Diceros bicornis minor: one gene and its partner. The main gene of each other region encodes a partner of the protein of the gene in region 2 in a complex. Links are inferred from orthologs where the notes say so. Each region holds a gene or a part of one and is shown on either strand. Other genes may lie near its edges.

What was found. The genes of interacting proteins can lie anywhere in the genome.
Region 1: the proteins of CENPA (region 2) and NTMT1 are in contact, whole or in part, in a crystal structure (PDB 5CVD), measured with the Homo sapiens proteins. The link is inferred for Diceros bicornis minor from reciprocal best matches to the Homo sapiens genes CENPA and NTMT1. Residues at the interface, in NP_001800.1 of Homo sapiens: Gly2, Pro3, Arg4, Arg5, Arg6, Ser7; in NP_001273725.1 of Homo sapiens: Tyr19, Trp20, Met30, Leu31, Gly32, Tyr34, Ile37, Trp136, Asn168, Ile175, Asp177, Asp180, Asp212, Glu213, Ile214, Tyr215.

The regions. Positions count from the first base shown.
Region 1 is NC_080767.1:37,215,731-37,223,014, forward strand, and holds the start of NTMT1 (N-terminal Xaa-Pro-Lys N-methyltransferase 1), read left to right. Parts: upstream 1-4,025; 5' UTR 4,026-4,058; intron 4,059-4,615; exon of another isoform or gene 4,616-4,730; intron 4,731-5,470; exon of another isoform or gene 5,471-5,695; intron 5,696-7,284. Other genes in the region: C28H9orf50 (uncharacterized protein C9orf50 homolog), read right to left, coding at 585-701, 804-885, 1,157-1,682. UniProt on the Homo sapiens protein: Distributive alpha-N-methyltransferase that methylates the N-terminus of target proteins containing the N-terminal motif [Ala/Gly/Pro/Ser]-Pro-Lys when the initiator Met is cleaved.
Region 2 is NC_080751.1:55,990,081-55,997,271, forward strand, and holds the start of CENPA (histone H3-like centromeric protein A), read right to left. Parts: upstream 3,214-7,191; 5' UTR 1,518-3,213; coding exon 1,433-1,517; intron 1-1,432. Other genes in the region: SLC35F6 (solute carrier family 35 member F6), read right to left, coding at 6,461-6,930. UniProt on the Homo sapiens protein: Histone H3-like nucleosomal protein that is specifically found in centromeric nucleosomes. Replaces conventional H3 in the nucleosome core of centromeric chromatin that serves as an assembly site for the inner kinetochore.

The DNA.
Region 1 (7,284 bases), on a different chromosome or scaffold from region 2:
GGTGGATAGAATTCTGGGAGTTTGTGAATAGATAGATGACTAGCTAGATGGATGGATGGATGGATGAGTGGATCAACAGGAGACCTGATTCATGGGTGAATGGATGGATGGATGGAGAGATTCATGAATAGGTTGTGGAAAATCTGGTTCACTGATAAGATGTATGCAAGGATGGATGGGTGAATGGGAGAATGAATACATGAATGGATTCATGGATGAATTATGAATGTGTTGGTAGAAGACCTGATTAATGGATAAATGGATTCATAGATGTTGATGGATGATCCTTGAATGGGCTGGGAATCCTTGAATGGGCTGGGAAAAGAACTGATTCATGGATAGATCTATGTAATGATGAGTGGGTGGGTGGGTGGATGGATGGATGGATGGATGGATGCGTGGATACATGGGTAGATTCACCGATGGATTATGAATGCTTTGGCAGAAGACCTGAGTCATGGATGGACACATAGGTGGATGAATAGGTGGATAGATGTATCAATTCATGGGTGAACGACAAAGGAAAGGAAGGAAAGAAAAGCTTCTTCTCCCCACTCCCCTCCCCCCATCCTCCCATAACTCACTGGTTGGCCTTCTTGACTGTGGTGAATTGTGAGTGATCTCTCTTCAGGGGCCCCAGGGCAGGTATCTGATGGAGCAAAATCTTCTTAAGACTATTCCGGAAGTACGATGACTTGCCCCTTGAAGACAAATAGGCCACAGCTGGCATGAGTGGTCAAGGTCCCCCACCCTCGGAGCATCCATGGCAACCCTGTCCCCACCAACAGGTCACTGACACTTACCGCAGGTCTGGGAGGAAGGAGTAGTTGGGACACTGAGGACACCTCCGGCAGTGCTCTGACACACCCCTTTGATGTGGCGATGCTGGGAACCAGGAGGAGGTGGAAAGAGTTATGAGCCTTTGCTTGGGGACAGTCCTTCCTACGCTCTTCCTAGTTATGCGGCCTTGGGCCTCGGCTTCCTCATCTGTACAATAGGGGCAATGGTAGAGCCACCCTCAAGGGGAGGTTGCTAGGACTGTGCTAGGAATACACGACTAATATTAGCATCATTCTGGGCATCATGGTGGGCCCCCCACCGGAAATGACTCAGCCCCGCCCTTGCCCCGCCCCCTGGGGGCGCCACAGGGCCTCACTCGGTGGCTGCGGCTGCTCCTCCTCACGCTCCACCCCAAGCTGGCGCAGGAACCCCCGGAACCTGCTGGGGAGGAGGAGCTCCCCCAGGAGGGCACCCAGGGACTCCGGGGCCTCCTTGGCCGAGCCCCTTCGGGGGTCCTCGCACTCTCCAGGTCCGCGGCGCGGGGGCGCCGGTGCCCGGGGCGCGCGAGCCAGGAGCAGGGGCGGCAGTAGCAGCGACCTCAGCCCTGTGCGTTCCTGCGCCGCCCGCGGGGCCACGGTGGGCAGGGCGGGCAGGCGCGGCAGGGGGCTCCGGACGCCCACCCCAGGCTCTGTGTGCGAGGACGCGCACCTGGGGGCCTGCCACCACCCTGCGTCGCTCCCCAAGGCCCTCGAACTCCCTGAGCCCCCCGCGCCAGAAGATGCTCGCAGCTGGGGCGCAGGCAGCCTGGGCAGCAGCGGGTCGCTCCTTCGGCGAGCGCCGTCGCCGGGGAACCCCTTGGGCGCCACCTGCTGGGCCCCCGGGTTGGGGTGACGCTGGGGCATGGCTGGCCCTGCGCTGGGCTCAGGCCATCCTCACGTCAGTGGGGGCGGGGGGTGCCGTGTGAAGTGGAGAGGAGGGCAGAGACCTGCCCCCAGGCCATAGCGCCCAGAGCGGGGCAGTGTGGTTTGGGGGTGACACCACTGGCCCCCCAGACAGTGAGTGGTTCAGGCTAGAGCCTCTGTTTCCTCACCTGAAAAATGATGACGGTAGGCATACCCACCTTTTTGAGTTGCTGTGACGTTTAATGAGCAAGCGCATGTCAGTGGCTTAGAAGAGTGGCAGGCACGTTGTACCTGCTCAGCAAGACGAGTTGCTCTTCTTATTCTTTTCAAATTATTACTATTTAGGATTTAGTAATAATTTGTTATTGTATATATTGTATATATTGTATTGTATATATTGCTATATACAATAATTTAGTTACAAGGATAACCTTGTAACTTTGTAACCTAGAGAGCCAACTAATTAACTTCTCTCGGTGCCGTCAGGGGATAACAGAGCCCCTGCTCCTTTGTAAGAATGAATAACATCCCGCGGTAGAGAGCAGTTAGCACTGGAGTGTTCCAGTCCAGGAGGCTGTTACTGTTATTAGCGCTCTGCTGGGAACTGAGAAACCCAGAACCAGCTTGAAAGGAGAGACCCTCAGAGCCCCGTGGGTGGGGGCCTGTTGAAAATACAGATGCCCCGGATGCTGATTCAGTAGGTCTGGGGAGGGGCCAAGACACATATTTTTAATAAACACCTCCTTTGGAAGACAGACCCCAGGCCTGCCCCCTGCTTCTGACACTGGGGGTCTGGGAGCTGCTTCCTCCGTACCACACCCAGTCCCAGACTGTTGTCAGCTCTGAGCTGGCTCCTAGTGTCACACTCACCCTGGTGGGGCTTCTGGGTGAGGCCAGAGGAGGTCCTGTGAGTTTAGAGCCCCCTAACAGGTGGGCTGGTCCTTGGGAGAGCCCATCTTCCTGGCCTGGTCCCTCTGCAGCCCCTCCCTGCTGCCTCCAGGGCCTCTTCAGGGTCATTGTGATCCGCCCCCACCCAAGGCCAGCTGAGGAGCATCTGCACTGAGGCCTGGGGGCAGAGGGCGGGGCTGTTATGCTCAAGATAACAAGACTGCTGTCACAAGGGGGTGGTGGGGCTCCTGACCAGGAGGGACAGAGGGCCCAGGGTTCGGCTACCCCCTCCCAACCCGGAGGCCCAGGTGGGTCATGTTTGGGCTGGGTGGCTCTGGAAGTAAAACTTCCGCCAGAAGCCTGGGCAGTAAGAATGCCTGGAAACGAAGAGACCTATTTTGAGTCCATGCTGTGCTCTGTTTGCTGTGTGATGCTGGACAGGTTTCTCCTTTCTCAGGCCTCCATGGTCAAATGGACTGTTGGGCCCCGTCTATGATTCTCGGCTGCGAGGGGGCAGGGAAGAAGCTTGTACTGTGAAAATCGAGTGGGGGACAAGGCTAGTTTGGACCAGTAATTTCACTGGCATGGTATAATTTTATAATTTGAAAAATGAAAAAATGACTTTGTAATTCAAATTACAAGGTGCCTGCCTGGAGGAGGCATCACAGATGATGTATTTCATTGTCTGCAAATACTCCTCAACTAGGAATGGAAGGGCATACCTCATTGGGAAGTTAGAATAATGAATGGGGAAGGTGAGAAATTTTTATATTTATTCTAAGGCTATGTGAGTTTTTAAGAGCTGGACAAGGACCACCAGACTAACCAGCTGATTTCTAAGGAGCTCTCCAGCGCTCGCATGCTGCAAACATTCACTAAGTGACTGCTGTGTGTGAGGCTCAGGGATTCAGAGATGCAAGAGGCTTGGAGGTCAGAGGGCTGGCCAGAACTGGAAAGGCCTTGGAGCCCGGGTGTGAGGAAGAGACTTTCTCTTCCATCGACAGGAAAAAAAGTAGGAGTAGATTTTTAGGCACCCCAAGAGAGCTCAGAGCTGCGCCCAAAAGATTATGGACACCCCCAGCAATTGAGATAGCTTAGGGTTTATCCCTTTCCCATAGAGATATGGAAAGTGAAGCTTGGGAGAGGTGCCCAGGCCGGGGAACCAAGTCTGACCTCGAGTACTCTAGAGAGGATGCCAAATAATATGTACATAGACAGATGTGGGGCACTCAACAGCAGGTGGGGCTTTTCAGCGCCCCCCCCCAATAGCTTTCACTTCATTAGAGCCAACACACTGTAAGCACCTCCTGTGTGCAGCGCCCAGAGGAAGGCACTGTAAATCTAAGACCAGGATGTCAGTTTAGGAAAAAGGAACTTATGATGAATATTGTCATTATAACAGCTTGTTTACTGAGAGACCACGACAAGCCCAGGGCTGAAGGCTTCACATGCAATATCCCACAAATTTAACCCTCAGAGCATTGGAAGGTGAGTAATTATTACATCTGTCTGGCAGAAGAGGCGACTGAGGCTTTGAGAGGTTCACAAGGGCTAGCCACCCGCAAAATTACATTTCCATCAAGGCTGCTTCAAGGACTGCTCCAGAATTTCTATATATGGGAGGAGCCTAGGGGAGGGCAACCTTTTTGGAATGGGAACTTCATGGACTTGTTCTGCTTATTTGGGGTGGCAACCCCTTGGCACTGCCAAGGGTATTTCTTTTTCTTTCTTTCTTGGATCTGTATGTTATTTTAAGATGCTAGTTGTTATGGGAGAGATTTGAGGAATAAGGCTTTTTTTCCCCCTTTTTACCCAGTGAGAAACCCAGAGAACGCTCGTTTTTAAAAATCCAGGCTTGCAGCCTCCACATGAACCGGTGCACGTGCTGGAGGCGGGAGAGGGTCGGTGCTGCGGTCCTTTTAAGTCCGGGAGGTTCTAGGTCAAGACCCACTGGGCGGGGCAAGCCGATGGCGGGGCGGAGCCAGCCGCGGCCCCGCCCCCGGGAGCCCGGAAGTGACGTGAGCGGACAAAAGCGGCGCGTGCCGCGCGGTGTGGCGTCTGGCCGGGGGCTGACGGAGCTGGTGTGGCTGGTGGGGTCTTCGCCGCCGCCCTTTCCTCTTCCGCGTCCTCTTCTCCCGGTCCCGGGAGCCCCCGCCCGGGGTGAGTAGCGCGCGGCGGAGCGGGGGACGGCGGCGCCGCGAGAGGGAAGGCCCGGCCCCCAACTGCCTCGGCGCCCGAGGCCCCGGCCAGTCACGTGACCGGGCGCGAGCTGGCCGGCCTCACGTGCGCGCCCCGGCTTAGGGGGGGTCCCCGGTGGGGGAGGAGGAAGAGGCCGAGCCCCCCAAAGCCCGGGTGGACACCCCCACGCGGCCCCCCGTGCCGCAGCAAATCTCTTTCCGTCCCTGAGCCTCAGTTTCCCCCATGAGAAACGGGGATAGGGAGGGCACCCGCTCCGAGAGGTGCGTGAGGATTCAGCACAATGCCCAGTTCAGAGCCAGGCACGGGGTAGCGCCCGTGGCATAGGAGTTGCTATCATATTTCACCTGGACCCAGCCCCAGTGACGGCCCGACACAGGTGCCGCTCAGAAGACAGCCCCCGAGAGCCCTTGGAGCCAAGGTTAGCCTGTTTGCAGAGAGGCTGCCGGACCGAAGGCCCAGGCTGTGCTGCTCGTCAACTGTGTGGTCTCTCTCTGGACCCTGGGTTCTCCGTCTGTGCATTAAGGGATGGAAAGGGTGTCAGGCCGTGCCGGTGGGTGGGGCACCGTTGCCGATGGTCTGGGTGTACAGAATCATTGCCCGGTGAGATGGGATAAGCCCCTGGGAGGACCGGGGCCTTGACTGGGATGGGAAGTCTGGATTCCCTCCTTATTCTGTTGGAGTTTCCCTGTGTTTGTTTTAAGGCGCATCACTCTTTTAGTGGAATGGTTTTTCTGTCTGTGAACTGGGGACTGTGGGAGCTGCTTTGGTGAAGACCAGAAGCCACCGAGGCAGAGACAGCGGTCTCCAGAATCTCTGCAGCGTTTCTGTGTTGACACGGATGGGACGCTCACCCCTCCCCTGCAGACTTGCAGCGCTGTCTCAGTCTGCTGGGTTGACCACCCAGCATAACAGTAATAATCCCTAAGGTGTGTCCAGCACCCTACAGTTTACATTTTCCTCATTTGATCTTCGCAACTGGCAGAGAGAATGGATGAGAATCTTGTTTGACAGAGATGTATAAACTGGAGATAACATGTACCCTGCACTGTATGGATCACTTTATGTTTTTATATTGACATTTAATCATCACAGCCTCCCTATAAAGTCAGTATTGCTGTTCCAATTTTATAGATAAGGCAACTTACTTAACTGTTTGTGTCTTGTTTGAGCTGACACACCAGCGAGAAGCAGAGCCAGGCTTCAGACCTGGTTCATCTGATTCCGTCAGAGCCTTCATTTGTTTTTAAATTTTTCTCCCATTTTTTTTTTTGGTCTTCCTTATTCCCTCCCTCCTTTTCTTTCTTTTTCATAGAGCACCCTGCCCTTCTCATATGTCCAGCCGCTGTCCACACAGATCCAGGGAGAACAGGCCCTGTCCCACGGGCTGTGAGGGCAGAAGTAACTTGAGGCAGACTCTTGCCTCCTGTTGCTTTCAGGCTTTTTCTTAGAGACCAGTCAGTGAGGAGGATGAGATGACTCTGCAGAGCACTGACGGTGACAGTTCCAACACCGTTCTCTTCCCTGGATCCTGGGAGAAGAGAAGGTGGCTGGGGAAGCTGCCCAGGTGTTGCCTCAAACACCTTGGTGTGGGGAGATGGCCAGATGACCATGAAGGATGCACAGAGGAATTCCACCCCTGAGGAGCAGAAGTTCACTATGAGCAAAGGATTTCTCTTCCCCTCCGAGCTAGCCTAGAGCGCACACAAAGGCAGATTGTGCCCAGGCCCCTTCCCCCTCCCTGCAGCCATGTAGTTCCTCGCTGTGATCTGGACAGAGTCTAGGAGGACTGCCTGCTGTTTGACGACCCTGCTGTTCCCTCTGACTCCTGCCCACTCTAAGCTGGACACTGCAAGGCAAAGTGTAGACAGGGCCCCCCCGAGTCACATTTACTCATGAATCAGCTGTTAGAACAAACGTCAGAGTCATACTCTCCATTTCCCGGCCTACATGTGCCTCCCCCGGCTTGTTCCTAGAATCTGCCTCTAAGTGGAATTCTTATAAATTAAATTATTCAGGGGACCTTGACATTTAAAGGAATCATGTTGTAAGGCTTTTGGTAGAGCAAAAAATTATATTGTCAGTAATGGCCTTCAGTGTTATCAGTTCTGAAGGGCTGTATTTTTGTCTGTAGGATTTTCTTAAAAGTGGAAAATGACTGTAGCCGCACAAAGCTCATTCTTTGATTCCTTCACCAATTAGTAAACACCCACCTTGTGTCAGGTACTGGGCTAATGGTGTACAAGGTTGTGTGCCTGACCCAGGAGGCTTACCTCCTGGGAGGGAAGGCAAACGGATTGGCAGAGAGGACAGCCAGGGACACGTGTGGCCCCAGATCTATTCTGTTGATTTAATCGGAAGCGAAGTTTGTGTTGAACACCTGTGTGCTATGTGCGCTGCAAGAGAAATACAGGGCTACAGCTCGGTGTCGCCACTGCTCTGAGGAGCTCCCAGTCCAGTGGGGGTAGGATTTGAATACAAAACCGGAAGTTTGCCAGGGCCGGTGGGCGGTGGTGGG
Region 2 (7,191 bases):
CTTGGACTCGGCTGATGGGAGCAGAGATGGCAACAAGAGGGGAGATTAAGGATGCAATGTGGAGGCAGAATTGCCTGATCCAGGGTCGAAGGATATTTCTACATCGGAAAGCAACAGCAAACATCATACTTAACAACATTCCTGTTAAAATTACAAGACAAAGACGGCCAAAACACTGCTCCTATTTCAACACTAGTCTTAGGGCCTCCACAGTACCATACAATAAGAAATAAAACGTACAAATAGGAAAAAGAAGATTCGAAAGTCATTATTTGCAGACCATATAGTAGCCTATTTAAACATTTCAACTGGAGCAACTGAAAAACTATTAGGATTCACAAGAGAATTCAGCAGGTTGGCTGGATGCAAAGGTTATTTGTTTAGGAAAGAAAAAAAAATCCCGTTCACAGCAGCAACATCTATAAATAATCTATACTTTTTTCACCCTGCTCTTAGTCATGCAGCAGAAGACAAGTAAAGCGGTTGCTGCCACAGAGCCCAGTTCTTGCCAGTGGGTCTCCCACCCACCAGACCACAGTAGAGAAACTGAGGACCACAAACCAGTCTTCTTTCCGGCACATAACCTCGGGAAGGGAACAAGGTGAGAGCACCGCTTGAGTTAGAGCACGTTGGTTAAGGCCCAACACAGCCACTCACTGAAGAGAAAAAACAAAAAAACCTGGAAGGGTACCTTCGTCTTTCTTTTTTTTTTTTTGCTGAGAAAGATTCGCCCTGAGCTGACATCCACGCCAATCTTTCTCATTTTGTATGTGGGCCACTGCCACGGCATGGCCACTGATGAGCGGTGTAGGTCTGCACCCCTGGACCAGAACCTGGGGCTGTCGAAGCAGAGTGCACTGAACTTAAACCCCAGGCCATGGAGGCTGGCCCTGGAAGGGCACTTTCTAAAAGCAGAATTGTTGTTTGAAATCGTCACAAAAAGCAGCCAATAATTTTGCAATTTAAAAAATCACAAACTGATTTTGAAAGCCCGGTGTCTGCCGGAACAGGGGTGTGACCTTGTTCAAGTCACCTGGCCTGTCTGCGCCTCGGTTTTCTCATCTGTAAAATGGGCACAATATAACGTTGAGATAATTCTCGTAAAGAGTTTAACACAATGTCTAGTTAGCGGTAAGCACTCCATAAATGCTAGTAGCATCGGGAAGAATTAGCACCAGCACCCAGGCTGTCTGGGCCCGTCCTTCTCCTGCGCGGCACTGCCTTCCCCAGTCCCCGGGGCCGCGGCGAGCAGATGGGGGACGGCAGAACCGCGCTGGCCAGTGCAGAGGATGCTAGCGGACCCGGAACCGGGGCATTCCGGCACAACCCCAGGCTCGGCACGCGACCTCGGTGTTCTCGTCTGCGAAACGGGCACGCGAGCCGGCCGTGCCCACCTCACAGCACGTGCCGGGAAGGGGCCGCGGCCGGTTACCTAAGGACGGGGCCCGCCGGGGGCTGCCGGGGGCCGGGCTGGCGGCGCGCCTCCTCGGGACTTCGGGCTTGCGGCGCGGGCCCATGGCGGGCGCGGAGGGTTGCGGCCCCGCGGCTCCTTCTCGGCCTTCGGAGTCTGGAGACCAAGGCTGGCGTCCGCGGGCGGCCTGGCAGCGCCCCGACCCGTGGCCCCGCGGTTGGGTGCTCCGCAGCCGCCGCGCCGCCTCACGTTCAAAACGCCCGCATCGCCGATTCCCTGCCGGCGTTTTTTAAAACCCGAATCCAGCGACTCTCAGTGGCTGCCTCTGGAACGCCCCGGCGCAGAGCGACTGCGGGAGGACCAATGAGAACACAGCCCGGGACCCTGACGGCGGCGGTGATAGGAGGAGAGAGCGGGAACATGGCGGGTCCACAGCAGGACTCAGCCTATGGGAACTTGGAGAAGTAAAGGGAGGCGGGAACTTCTCCCGCCCTCCGCTTGCCTGTCGGGGTGCTCGTCTTTGAGGGATCTGACCCGAGTCCTCGGGTGCCCTCTGGTAGGAAAGGGAAGGCTCGATTTTGAAGATGTAGATGGTGAGTTTGTAGAACGCGTTTCTCTAGACAAATCACTTTGCTCAAACATTTTATGTTTTGCCCTATCAACCAACCCAAGTCTTTACCTTGGATTGGGGATCTGAACCCGAGAATAATACCCTGTATCTTGATCTCGGTGCTCTTTTCTCTCCTGACTTTATAACTAAAAGTAAACGAACACCACATTGCACTGACGACTTTGGATGTTTCTGTGATGCCCACGCTGACATCCCCCTTGGTTGTTCCACGGTCCTGGTGGGAATTCCAGCCCAGCTCGGGAAGGGAGCGACTCTCAACAGGCATGCTGAAGTGAACTAGGTCTACAGTCCCGGAAAGCAGAATCTTCTTGAGTTCGCTGGCTGGAGCGGTACCTGGGGATATTCCGTGGGTCCACTGGCGATGGGGGTGAGAAGACCCACTCTGGTGGCGGCTTACACAATAGAAGACCCGACAGCCAGGGGCTCTGCAATGTGAGCCTCCTCCCTGAATGGCTCTTATATTCATCCTCGCCCCCATTTCTCTAGTCCAGACCCTAATCAAAGGTTGTTTTACTGGTCTCTGTCTTCAGTACCTCTTAACGCCAATCAAACCTGTCTCCATATAACCACCAGGTCATCTTTCTAAATAGCAATTTGGATCATGTCGCCTCCCCTGCCTAAAACTCTCCATGGCACTCCACCGTCTAATGACAGAGTTCTAATGCCTCAGCAGCACTGAGGGCACAGCACTGTCTGGGCGCCTGCCCACCTCTCTGGCCTCTTCTGCGTTGCATGCTTACTGCCAGGCACACCAGTCCACTTACCTGCAGTTCTTGACTACATCGCCTTGTTATACGCCTTCACGTTTCCGTACGTTTTACAAGCTGTTCCTTCCTGGAATACTCCTTCTCCTGCCCTTCAGCCCCCAGCTGGGACTCCTGCTCATCCTTCAACACCCAGTTCAAGTGGAGCTCTCTCTGACAGTTCTAGATGGAGTTAGCTGGTCTCTCCTGTACTACCTTCCCTGCACCTCGTACAAAGGCCTCTTATTGCACATCACACTGTGCTGGAATTCTTTCTTTACATATTCATTTCTCCTGTGTTCTTTGATGGATCCACTCTCCTTGGAGCACATCAGTCCTCAATCAAGTTTGCTGAATTCTGGGATAGAAACCCCTTATTAAATTTTTTTTGACAAGTGTTCTTAATGAAGAAGGGTGATCTATAAACTTTTATGGCTACATAGGGAAACCCCTGCTTACCTCGAGTTTTGAAAGGATGTAGTCAACAAAAGGCAATCTATAAGTGGGTCAGGGAGGTGAACACGTTTAGGAATGCTGAGAACCTCTCCTTTTTATAGGTAGCCAAGGTCTTGAGAGGTAACATGACTTGTCCAAGGCCATCCAGTCAAGGTAGAGGCAGGGCTGAGAACACAGCTCTCTGCCGCCAGATTCTGCTTCTTTCTCCTACACAGGAGGCCCTTTGCTCCACTCCTCTGAAGTCCTCATAAGGGGTCAGAGCTCTGACCTCCTGGAGCGCTGTCTGCTTGTTCAACTACGCAGAGTCCTTTGGGCAAAGTAAAGGCAAACAGAACCATTTGGCACGGGACTAAATCTCCGCCTTGTGGGCAGATTCCCGGTGGAGAGGAGCCTGAGGGCTACTCCCAGGCCTGGATGGCAGTCCTGGAGGAAGCTCCAGCCCCAGGCTCCCCTAGGATCACTCTACGAGGACTAATCAGTTCACCATGTGGATGATTTAAATTACACTGTATTTGAACCGATGTTCAAATATTTGATAACCGATGGAGGTCTGTTATCAGTTATTCTGATTTTGGGGCTCAGGGCCTCCACGCCAAATGCCCACCATTCAGGGCTCCCTTACTCCACTCAGAACAGTAGGCCACAGCTACAGACATTCCCCGCAACCATCCAGACTCAGGAGAGGGGAGGTCCTTCCCCTTGCACATGACCAGCACAACACAGTAAGGCCTCTCATTCACCCTCAAAGCACCTCTGACAACAGGGTACAGTGGACACATCCCAGGGCCTGGGAGGACACCTACTGCCAGCATAAAATTTTCTGGAGGCATCCTGTTTTAATTTATCATCGATGTGAATTTCACATTCTACTCCATGATGGTTTGTTTTAATAAAACATTTCTCCTATGCTGAGCAAAACCGATGTTCTGTGCCGTGACAATGCTGGGACTTCAGTGCCCCCGATGGACCACTGTGGTGGACAGTGCAGCCCTACGTGACACTCTGCTGTGCACTGGCACATAGAGGCACCTTCAGTTTATCATCTTATGTAATTTTCACACTCATCCTGCAAGATGGAGGCTGGCTTTCTCATTTTGGAGATGTGAAGACCTAAAGCTCCAGGAGGTAAAGCAGGTTCCCTGAATTGGTGGCAGGCCTGACAGGGTGTCCCTATGCTCTGCAACCCCTGACCACTGAAGTCCCATTATAGTTCCCCCCACCCCTTCAACATTAAAATCAACACAGTCTCCCATGGCAGCACTCAAATAAAGGCCAAGTGCTTCTCTAACACCCTCTGAAGCGGTTTGCATGGTTGAGCGCACAGGCTGGGCAGTCCGCAGCAGAGGAGCAGTCCTGGACTCTCGGTACAGGCCCCTGGCTACGCTCCCTGTGGCAGAATGGGATGGGCAAGTACTGAGAACCAGGAAATCTGGCTTTGCATGTCACTGGCTGTGTGACCTTGGGAAGTTCCTTCCTCTCTCTGGGCTTTAGTTTCTTCATCTGAACAATGAATGGTGGACTGGGTGATTTCTATGCTTTGGTACATTAGAGCTTTTCCATCCCAACATTCTAGACGCTATCCCCAGGAACGTTCCAACCCTTGTGCTCCTTCCCTCTTGTTAAAAAAAAGTCCATACTACCAATTTCCCTTTTTAAAATAAAGCCTAAAACAACATTCTAAGGCCCCAGTTTTTTGGACAAGGCAGCTGTAGTCCCCACCACCCTCACTCTCCATTTCCTTCTTCTGTGAGCTGGTGGGATGGAGAGGCCCTCCTCTCCCAACAAGCTGTAAGAACCTGCTGGATTCCCGCATAGTCTGAGGGCTTTGCTTGTCAAAGATCCTTTCCCCAGAACCTATTTTAAGGAAGGCATTCAGTGCTTTGTTTTATGATTGAGCAGCCCAGGAAGATGGTCTGAGGCTCCAGAAACTACCAGAGTGAGGAACACTGGAACAGAGGGCTGCTCAGCTCCCTGCAGTCCCTGATGCCAGCCAGTCCATCTCTTCTGGGTGGGGTTACCAGGAGGACAACAGCATAATGCTTCTATCCCAGCCACAGGAAATTCCCCCCAAAGACCCCAGGGAAACCCATATGGGAGGTGGGGGCCCAGGTGTGGAATCAGGCAAACCTAGCTTAGAATGCTGGCTCCATGAGGAAGTCACTTAACCTTCTTGGGGCCACAGTTGCCTTGTCTGCACCCACCCGTGCAGGCTGCTATGAAAGTTAAGCACTTAACACAATGCCTGGGATACCAGAATTACTTTAAATGGTAGAATCCTGGTAAGTCCACCAACCTGGAGGGTTCTCTAAGAGTCAGGTTGGGAGGTGGGGGCTGAGGTCCAAATGTACTCTAGATCTCAGCCTATGGCAGGATCATGTGGCTGCATGGCCAGAGCCTACAGCAAGAGAGCCCTCCTGCCAAAAAATACAGAACCCTAGGCCTCAGTTTCCTCATCTTTAAAATGGAGGTAAAGACATCCTAAACACTGTTATCAAGGGCTGCCTGGAATTCTGGCTGTAATCCCTCTCAGTCAGGGAAGACTTGAGGGTGTGTGAGCAAGGACATCAAAACAGGCTTGGGGAGGAGGCACTGTGGGCAGAGGGGCATTTCCAATAAATGGGCTGTTACTCCTTTCCCAGGTAGGTCAAAATCGTAGGCCTACAAACTGTGCCCAGCTGGGGCTGGAAGGCACTGAAGCCACAGTGTTGATACCTTCTGCTTTACAGAGCAGGACACCAAGGCCCAGAGCGACCAGGTAATGGGCTAGGGAGCATACACGAGTCTGCTGCACAGCCTGACTGAAACCTAGGTCTCCAGACAGGGTTAGGGAATATCTTACAAGTTTTAGAAAATACGGTGCTTAACTTTCATTCTCTTGCATAACAACCTGCACAGGTGGGTGCAGACGAGGCACAGGTGGGTGCGGATGAGGCAATCGTGGCCTCAAGAAGGTTAAGTGACTTCCTCGTGGAGCCAGGCAGGGGTCGGTCACTGTCCTCAGGCCTGTGGGGGCTGGGTAACACCTCTCTGCAGGGGGTTGTGACAAAGGAGGACCAGGGTATCATGTCATGTTCTGTGGCAGCAGCTTTCCTGGGGGTCTGTGGGGAGGGGCAGGGTGAGGCCTTGGGCACAGGGCACTCGAGGCTCACCAGCCCGTGCGACCTCAGCCTCAGGGTGAACAAGGAGTGTCCAGGTGGCAGCAGAGGCCCTGCAGAAGGCTCAGCTGGTATCGTTGATGGCAGTCCGAGAGCCACCCAGCAGTCTCTCATGCTCACCCTCCTCTGCCGGGGGCCGGCCCCTGGACAGGCGGGTGAGCAGCGGGCGGTGTAGCCCGTTGTAGAGGGCGGTGCCCATCAGGAGGATGAGGAAGCCGAGGATCTGCAGTGGGTGGAAGGCCTCCCAGCCCAGTGCCAGGCTCACTGCCCAGATGACAACAGTGCGCAGGCTGTCCAGCACCATGCGAGTGGTGGCGCTCAGTTCCTTAGTGACACTGATGCCCGCAAAGTTGAAGAAGGCAATGCTGCTGATGTTGCCCAGCAGCGCCAGGGCAATGAGTGGTTGTCGGCCCACCTGGCAGAAGGCGTCCAGCGCATCCTCCAGCGTCCCGTGAGGGTTTCCACTGAAGGAGCCGGCGGGGATGTAGTACATGGGCACCAGCAGCAGGGAGAGGATCACGAAGCCAAAGAGGCCTGTGGGAGTGGAGGAAGCATATCACACTCTCCGCTCCGTCCCCAGACTCCCAGCACTTCCCACCCAGCAAGGGCTCCACTGATCTCCTGGCCACCTCCTTCTAGCGGCCCTACACCAGCTCCTTCCTTTCAGGTCCTGGAGCCGCTCCTCCCATCAGGAATTCACAACGGCCTACTGAATGGGCTCTAGCTGCCCCTTCTCCACTTTAATCCACATCTTCCAACTGGACCAAGAGTAAGAAATACATTTTACATAGTGAC